Linked DNA regions of Coturnix japonica. The main gene of each other region encodes a partner of the protein of the gene in region 2 in a complex. Links are inferred from orthologs where the notes say so. Each region holds a gene or a part of one and is shown on either strand. Other genes may lie near its edges.

Region 1 (4,113 bases), on a different chromosome or scaffold from region 2:
ACAAATGTTGTTTTAACAGAGTGGTCACTTTCCAGTTAAGCTCATTAACTAAGTGGTTACAGATGTAAGGACCCAGCGACCCCCTGACTCCTGCAACCCATAGGAAGAAATGGCATTTCAGAACTCCTCCTTAGGAGAATCATAGAATCATTATGGTAGGAAAAGACCACTAGGGTCATGTTTAATTTCTAACAAACAATCTCAAAGCACCCTTAACACTAGCATCAGGCATGAGACGTGCAAAAATCACAGGCTGGTGGGTTATCAGGCATCAGCACATAGGCCAAATAACCTATCATTGATCACAGAGTCAAAAGACTGAGTTTATCTGTAGGACTGTACATTTGGTTTGGCCGTATGTGAGCTTTCATTTCCAGACTTTATAAGCAGCCAACTAAACCAACACAGTAAAACAAAGATTCTCTCTCAGAAGCTGGTCATGGTGGCAGGGGTGTGCAGGAAGCTCGCTGTCCCACAGAGCACCCACCCTTCCCTTTCCATCCCTGCTGGACTGCCCACAGCCTGCCCATCTGAGCAGTGCTGACACACATCCCCCCTCCCTGCAAGGCTTTGCAGATGTGCACAAAGCAGGTCTGGCATCTCAGGCTTGTATAGGTTCTGTATAGGGAATATTTGAAAGGGCTGACAGCCAGGCTGGGCTAACCAACTATGTCAGTGGCTGAATGTATTTATATTAATAATGTGGGACCCCCCCAGAAATTTTCTGGTTGGAGACAAGAGGCTGTGCCAACTCACTCATAACAGAGTGGTTTTCAGCGTGGGAAAACCATGCATCTCATTTTCTACATTCATCCTACTCACTTTATCACTTTTCCACAACTCTGTATTCAAGGAGGATACATCTGTGATTAAACAGCGTATAAAAGATACTGCGCCCTGTACACCTCAGTGTTGTGATACCATGGTGACATCCCTCCAAAGAATGTGGTTAAGGGTGAATAACTTCCTCTGTATTTGCTTTGGTTCTTCTGCTGTGATGAATCACCACATCCCATTTGCTGCAGCTCTGGACCAAAGCCCATAATTAACTGCAGACCTGATACTGCAAAATTGATTCTGAATACTTGTCCTAAAAAGCTTCTGAATAACAATTGTAAAGCAGAATAATGGCTAACCCAAAGCCAAAAGGGAAGAGCTTTGTTGTCCTGAGAACCCAGTGAGCTTTTCTGTGCTAGAGATTCATGCCAAGAAGTGTGTCCCAGCAGTGACAGGTGCATGTGCTTTGGATACGTACTCTAAGATACTCCAAATGGGTGAGCACCAGTTGTAAAACTCTGCGTGGGCACAGGCCTGTTGCTTTCTGATCAAGCTTTTTGGGTGATAAATAGGCCACTAGTTTTCTATGGACAAACAGCAATACAGTAATATAAAATGCAGATTTCCAAGAGCACCTGATGTATTCTAGTGCAATGTTCTTTGGAACCTCACAAAACATGATGTGACATCAGTGTTAGCAAGTGAAGTTCAAGTAAATGGAAGCTTAGGTAAATCTCTCAGTGCAAAGCTGAGTGTCAGAAGAGGCAAAAGCAAAGAAAAGAAGCATTTACATAGAACATCTGTGAGAAAGAACATAGATTCAAAGCAGGGTCTTAGTAACTCAGCGGCTACAGAGGAAAACCCCATAGCATTGAATTAGTTCATCAGTAAGATACAGAGAAGACAACTCCCTCACACAGATTGGTAAGAAGATAGGGAGGCCAGTCACAGCAGCAGTTAGTCATGCTGAGAACAAACCTGAATGCTAACAGCCTCCTATTCAAATATTGTTTCGGTAGGGAAAGGAATACAGGCTGTGACTCAGTTCATACTCTTTGGAGGTACCACATAACCTGAGGAGAACATCTGACTGCTCAGCTATGGCAACGGGGCTCCAGTTCTCTGAGCATCCTCCTCTGGGCCCGCTCCAAAACATGCACATCCTTTATGCGCTGCCGTGCTGCTAACGGCAACCGTGAGTCAGGCTGAGGAGCGCACAAAGGCAGGCAGCAATCGGGAAATGGAAAACCTGCCCGCATCCTTCCTGCTCCAACATGACACGGGGCGAAACGATGGGAAAGGGAGGGTACAGCACAGTGCGAACCCGCACGGCGCAGCGCTTACCCAGCGCTCCTTGGCAGATGTCGGTGCGCGTGGCTCCGCCGGAGATGAACCGGGGGGAGGAACACAGCTCCTGGAACAGAACGAGCCCGAGTTACGAGAGGAGGAGGAGGGAGCCGAGAGAGACACAACGGCGGGGATGGAGCCGGAGTGCACCGCGCATCTCGGGCACCCCGAGCTGGGCACCTACCGTAGGTCTAAGCCAGACGACGCCCTTCGTTTTGTACGAGTTGGGCCCCAGCTCGCGATAACCGAGAGCGGCGGGGCAGGCGGGGAAGGAGGGGTCCTGGAAGAGGCGGCCGTCCTGCAGGCACTCCCTGCGCAGCGCCCCGAAGTTCTGCCCCAGGTACGGCACCGCCTGCTCGTGCCGCCCCGCACCCGCCGCCGCCGCTCGCTCCTTCGCCAGCGCCGCCGCCATCCCCGCCATCGCCCCGCCGCCCCGCAGACACGCCTCTCCGTCACGGGGCCGCCCCGGGCGTGTCGCACCCCGCGGGTCGTGGGAGGGGAACGGCGAGGCCCATCCCGACCAAAAATCCCTCGTGGGGTTGCAGGGAAGCAAAGCCCCGCACGTGTCCGAGGATGGCATCTGTCCGTGCGGAGCCCCCCGTGCCGCCTATCCTGCCCCGGCGCCGCTGGCATCGCTACGGGAGGGCTGTCCGCACTGCGAGAGCTCGGGCTGTTGGTGCCGTGCTTCGTGGCTGACTCACTGCACTGCACGGCGGAACGGGGAGGCACCGCTTTTGGGGCAGCGGATCCCGGGCTCTGAGAGCACGTAGGGCTCGTTTGGAGCCGTCCTGTTGGACTGAACTCCTAGTTTAGACTGAACTCCTAGTGTGCCCTGGAGCCCCCAGAGGCCAGTCACAGCCTGGATGCCTCCAGCTGGATGGAGGGGAGGGCTTGTCCCACTGCTCTGAGCTGCACGGCCTCTCCTCCTGCACTGGGTCTTATGCCACAACATAAGACAGACATCACTGTGTCATAGGGCATCCAAAAGTGAGCAACAAAGACGGTGAAGGGTCTGCAGACAACGTGTGTGAGCAGCACTGGGTGCAATAAAAGCAATAAAAACATTTTCAGCTGATCAGTGGGAGAAACCTTTCATTAACACCGTCTTAGCCCTGTAATGTAAGCTGCGGGGAGCCACGTAACCACAGAGCTGCTCCAAAGGCACTGGTTTGGCTCCACACAGTGGATCAGAGCTGTACAGCCGCCACAGATCAGACTAACCTCATTTTCAACAGCCACAACAGAAGGAAACTAATGTCAGTTTAAAGCAGTGGTTTTCACTAGCCTAGAAAAGAGGGCCTCTCCACACACCTCACAGCATCTGTCTCCCTTCTAAAGGGGGGCTATAAGATAGAAGGAGACAGACTCATTAGCAGGGACTGTTGTGATAGGACAAGGGGAAATGGTTTCAAACCAAAAGATGGGAGATTTAGATTTGGTATAAGGAAGAAGTTCTTAACAAATGAGAGTGGTGAGGCACTGACACAAGTTGCCCAGAGAGATGGTGGGTGCCCCATCCCTGGAAACACTCTAGGTCAGGCTGGACAGGGCTCTGAGAACCTGACTGAGCTGTAGCTGTTGCCATTCATTGCAGGGCAGTTGGACCAGATGAACTTTGGGGTCCCTTCCAACCCAAATGATTCCATGATTCTCTTTTCATTTGCCTTCCTGATACTCTTTCTGCCCTACACAACACACAGATATTGTGGGGATGGAAGATAAAGTCTGCCCAATGGTCCAGGGAGTGGAGCAGGGGGCCGTGCTGCTCTCCTCCCCAAGAGCATCCCCAGATGGAGATGGCTTCCTAAAGGAGAAGGCTGGCAGCACTGGTGGTGTTACACAACAAAGGGATTTGCTTTCCCCTTTGGGGCTGGAGGTTTCCTCACCAGCACGAAGCCCAGCCAAGGCAGTGAGGGGTATTGGCAAGGTCTCAGCCATCTTGTGAAATGCTCTTCCCAGCTCCTCATCCCCTGGGCCAGCCCCACTGTA
Region 2 (4,061 bases):
AATCAACCTTCATCAGCTCCCTTTTGCTTTGCATTTCCAAGTGCCGAGTCTTCAGATTTAAATAAATTAATCAATTTGCTTAACAAGAAACTCAACTGAGCTTTCCTGGGATGGTATGCATGCCTCACTCTTCTATGTCCCCATGTGGGTGAGAGAGGTTGCTTTTGTTTTGGGCATTCTACTCTTTTTCTTGCTCACTTTTCTTACAGTGACAAAGAAATGTATGCACACGGTAACAACATACCCATACCAATGGCTGAAGCAGCTCCAGCTATGTCACAAAAAGAGCCAGCACACACTTTCAGTTAGTTAAACTTAAAACGTAACTTATTTTCAACTCTTTCCTGTTTAAATCAAATTGGCCGCAAATATTTTTCACTAAAGACAAAACAAACAAAACCACTCACAATCACAACATCTGGGGGAAAAAAAAAAACACCCAGTAAAAGTATCATTAACAAGAAAGTTTATCATCTTCAATTTGTTCCGTACGCACAAAAACATCTCGACGCTATTGCTTCAGCACATTTACCTTCAGATTCAAAATACTAATAACAGAATGTACGACTGCATCCTCAGCTTACACTTGTAAAAATCAGACTTCATCTGAAACTCCTGCTCCTTGACATTCTTTCTAAATCTCAGGAGTTCCACTAGCAGCAGCAGGCCCTCAGTTCAAATATGCTGCATTTCAGCAGTCAGCAACAACATTCAGTAACTGGGTAAGAAGGGAAGTCTGCCTGCAACAGCCTCATCTTAAGTCAACTAACTGCATTGCTGCTGATGATGATGAAGACAAACATTTTATACTGACAGGAATCTGACCATCATATTTCAGTCGAAATTGAGAAAAAGACAGAGATTTTTGATGCTGCTCAAAGAACTGACAGATAAAAGACGCGTCAAGGAAGTGCAGAGAGAGCATAGGTGAAAGCCAGATTCTTCTTACAGCCCTTGCATTATGCTTTGCGCACATATCCTAGGGAAACAGCAACAACAAAAACCATCACCTAACACAAAAAACACCGAATCTCTCATGCCTGTTCCTTTCTTCCTTCTCTCCTGCTGCACTCCCTCATCTATTAGACCGTGATGCCCTCCAGGAAGAAACTGCCCCAGTAAATGATAGATGTTCACATGGATGGCGAGGACACTGGTCTTGCACAAAGGCCAGTAGAGATGTGCTGGTGCCAGTAACTGCAGAGATTGCTTTCCAACAGAGTTCAAGAGGAGTGGTTTCCCTCTGTGAATGCGGGCAACGAGGTGGTCTTAGTATCTTTCCCAACCCTGGATTCAATGGCCCAGGACTACAGGGCCATCATCACTTAGTGCAACAGTTCTCAAACTTTCTTATTTCTGACTCTGCATTATCGTCACCATGCCGTATCACTGGCTTAATACAACAAATTACTTCCAAAAACACCACTAATCCATCATCTGAGCTATTCTGAGCAATGGAAAGTGCAATTAGAAATCGAGGGAATCCCATATACCTCAGCAATTATTCAGGAAATATGTTAAATCAGTCATTTCTCTGAAAGACGCCTCTCCTCTTACAAAGTTTCTCTAAAACTTTAACAGAGGGCAGGCTCCCTCTCGCCACTCCTCTGAAAGACTTTTCAGCTTCCTGCTATGACTAATAATTCAGACGACTTCTAAGCAATTACAGGTCCTGTCAGACTAATGAGCATTAACCAAGCTGAGCTGAACCACAGAGAGCCATGAGAGCTGAGGTTTACTCAGAGACTGTTCAGCGAGACAAAACTATTCCTGGCAGCTCCACGACCCACCTGCAGTTAAACACACGTTTCCAAAAACAGGCACAACGCAGGATTTTCACCCAAAGCAGAAACAAACCCCCGCAAGCTCTGCCTTACACTGCGTATCACCAATTGCTGAGTTCTGATCGAATGGCACAGTTTAGTCACTTCTAGAGCTTGCATTATTCAGAGCATCACGAAAACAGCCGTCAGCACAAAACGAGCCCACGTCCCAGCATCGCTTAAACAAAGAACACAGCAGAATTTCGGAGCTACATCCAGAAAACGCCAGGCTTTCACAGGACCTGACGCACAACAACACGAGCACGTGAAGAGCGCCCATCCGCCGCCCATCACTCCCACCTCCCCGCTCATTCGTGTCACAGCCGGGCGACCCCGCCCGCAGCCGCTGTGCGGAGCCCTCCGCAATCCGTAGCCGCAGCCCCGCATTTCACATTTACCGTGGCATACCACCAGCGTGCAAAAGCCATGGTGCTGCTCGCTGCTCCGCACTGCACGGCACGGCAATACAGGGCACACAGACGCACGGGCCGCGCCCCAGCAGCCACCTCCCTTCGGGGGCGGCACCCGCCAAGGGAGCGGCCAGAACCGCGCCCCAGCCGCCCCCGAGACCCGCATCGGGCGGGGCTGCGGTCCGGGCAGGAGGTCGGGGTTGGCCGAGGGGGTGGGGGGGGGGGGGCTCACGCTGCCGCTCGGCAGCTCCTCTGCATTGCAGCTGGAGGGTCGGGGTCCATCAGTGCAGCTGCCGTGCCCCCCGCCCGCCTCACACCGCGTTCGCGTCGCTCCCTGCCCACCTTACCGCGGCGGGGCCAGGGGGGCCCGAGCCCGGCTGGGACATGGCGCACGGAGCGGCTGCGGGCGGGGGGCGACCGGCGGCGGTGAGGAGCGAGGAACGCTGCCGAGCCGCGCAGCCAGTCCCTCCTCTTCCTGCCGGGCCGGGGGGGGCCGAGGGGACCGGGGCAGGGCGTCCCAGCTCGTTCTTCCAATGCAGGAGCGGCTTGCATTGTGTGGCTGTTGTCAAGGTTTGGGGGCGGGAGGGGGAAGTGTCGACACTTTCCAACTTTCGAGTGGAGTTACTGACAGTTTCACTGCTGTCTCCCCCCGTGGAAGGCCTATTTTCCGCAGCCTTTTGGCAAGGCTTGTGGATTCCGACAGACCTGAGCGCAAAACTGCTCGTCCCGTGGCCTCAGCCCGGGACTGATACGTGACCCGCAGCGCTAAGGCTCCCGTCAGTAGCACTCACTGGATATGTGGTCAGAAAGCTTTCCAAATATCCCGACCTGTGGAGTCCTCACAGAACTGAGCTCCTGACTGACAACAGTAATGACAGCTCTTCCAAAATACTGCAGAGGTTGTCGTGGTCACACAGAGCTGCTGGAAGTTGAATCATGACTGAGTAACCACGATCAAAACAGATATTCTCTGTAATAAGGCTAATAAGAGCAGCACTGGTTTCTGGACACGTACGTGTGTACTGAGGTCACATACACCAACAGGAGGAACAAGAAGTTTTCAGGGAATGCTCCTTCCCTTACCAGCCACACTCCCTGAGGCAGGAGGACAAAGTCCTTCCCAGCCACAGATCAAAGCCAGCCGCTGGGAAGCAGCCCCAGTTGATGCTGTTGGATGGGTGGGTGTATGCGAGGCCTCAGAATGGCTTCAGCCTCCAGGAGAGAAGCTGGGTAGGTCAGGCACATCCCCTGCCTGAGGCATTCCCTGCTCTTCCTGCACTTGGTGCACTCATCACTGGCCTTTGAAGTGATTCAATAGCACGTACGGGTTTTGCTTTCCACTCTGCCTAAAATTTTAAGCACGAGTTCACTGTGGTGGGAAGAACAGCACAGAGTCGTTCAGCTGCAGGCAGAAGGCCTGTCTGACGCAGCACTCCACGTAGGCAACTTTGTGTGCTTCACCCCTTCTATTGCCACATGCCTTGTGACAGCAACTGAAGCCGTCAGTGACTGAAATCCTGGAGTTACACAGAAATGAGGCAGTAATACAGGAAAAGCTTCATGCTGATCAGCATCCTGCAGAGTGCTGAGGGTTCTGCTGATCCACCACAAGGTCAATTTTAAGTTCTCTGGTGGGAAGTTAGGCATGAGGCACGAGGTTTGAAATGACCCTCAGAAATCCTGTTCAGGTGTACCATGTGTACCTACACAGAAGGACATATTCCAGAAGAACTCATCCTGCATCACTCCGTGCATAACATGGTAGCCCTGCCTGGCCTAGAAGGCGTGGTGGATGCCCTCCAGCATGGGATAGCTGCAGGGAGGAGCA

Evidence for each region.
Region 1: the proteins of CAST (region 2) and CAPN2 are in contact, whole or in part, in a crystal structure (PDB 3BOW), measured with the Rattus norvegicus proteins. The link is inferred for Coturnix japonica from reciprocal best matches to the Homo sapiens genes CAST and CAPN2. Residues at the interface, in NP_445747.2 of Rattus norvegicus: Glu571, Leu572, Asp573, Ala575, Leu576, Asp577, Glu578, Leu579, Ser580, Ser582, Leu583, Gly584, Gln585, Arg586, Gln587, Pro588, Leu596, Asp597, Asp598, Lys599, Val600, Lys601, Glu602, Lys603, Ile604, Lys605, Ala606, Glu607, His608, Ser609; in NP_058812.1 of Rattus norvegicus: Glu62, Leu63, Ser68, Lys69, Gln99, Gly100, Ala101, Leu102, Gly103, Trp106, Lys161, Asp162, Leu165, Leu166, His169, Ser196, Gly197, Gly198, Thr200, Ser241, Asp243, Ile244, Thr245, Asp249, Ser250, Glu251, Ala252, Val253, Val259, Lys260.

What each region holds. Positions count from the first base shown.
Region 1 is NC_029518.1:15,399,702-15,403,814, forward strand, and holds the start of CAPN2 (calpain-2 catalytic subunit), read right to left. Parts: upstream 2,801-4,113; 5' UTR 2,705-2,800; coding exon 2,309-2,704; intron 2,192-2,308; coding exon 2,122-2,191; intron 1-2,121. UniProt on the Homo sapiens protein: Calcium-regulated non-lysosomal thiol-protease which catalyzes limited proteolysis of substrates involved in cytoskeletal remodeling and signal transduction. Proteolytically cleaves MYOC at 'Arg-226'.
Region 2 is NC_029547.1:50,813,075-50,817,135, forward strand, and holds the start of CAST (calpastatin), read right to left. Parts: upstream 2,801-4,061; 5' UTR 2,786-2,800; coding exon 2,576-2,785; intron 2,445-2,575; exon of another isoform or gene 2,252-2,444; coding exon of another isoform or gene 2,222-2,251; intron 1-2,221.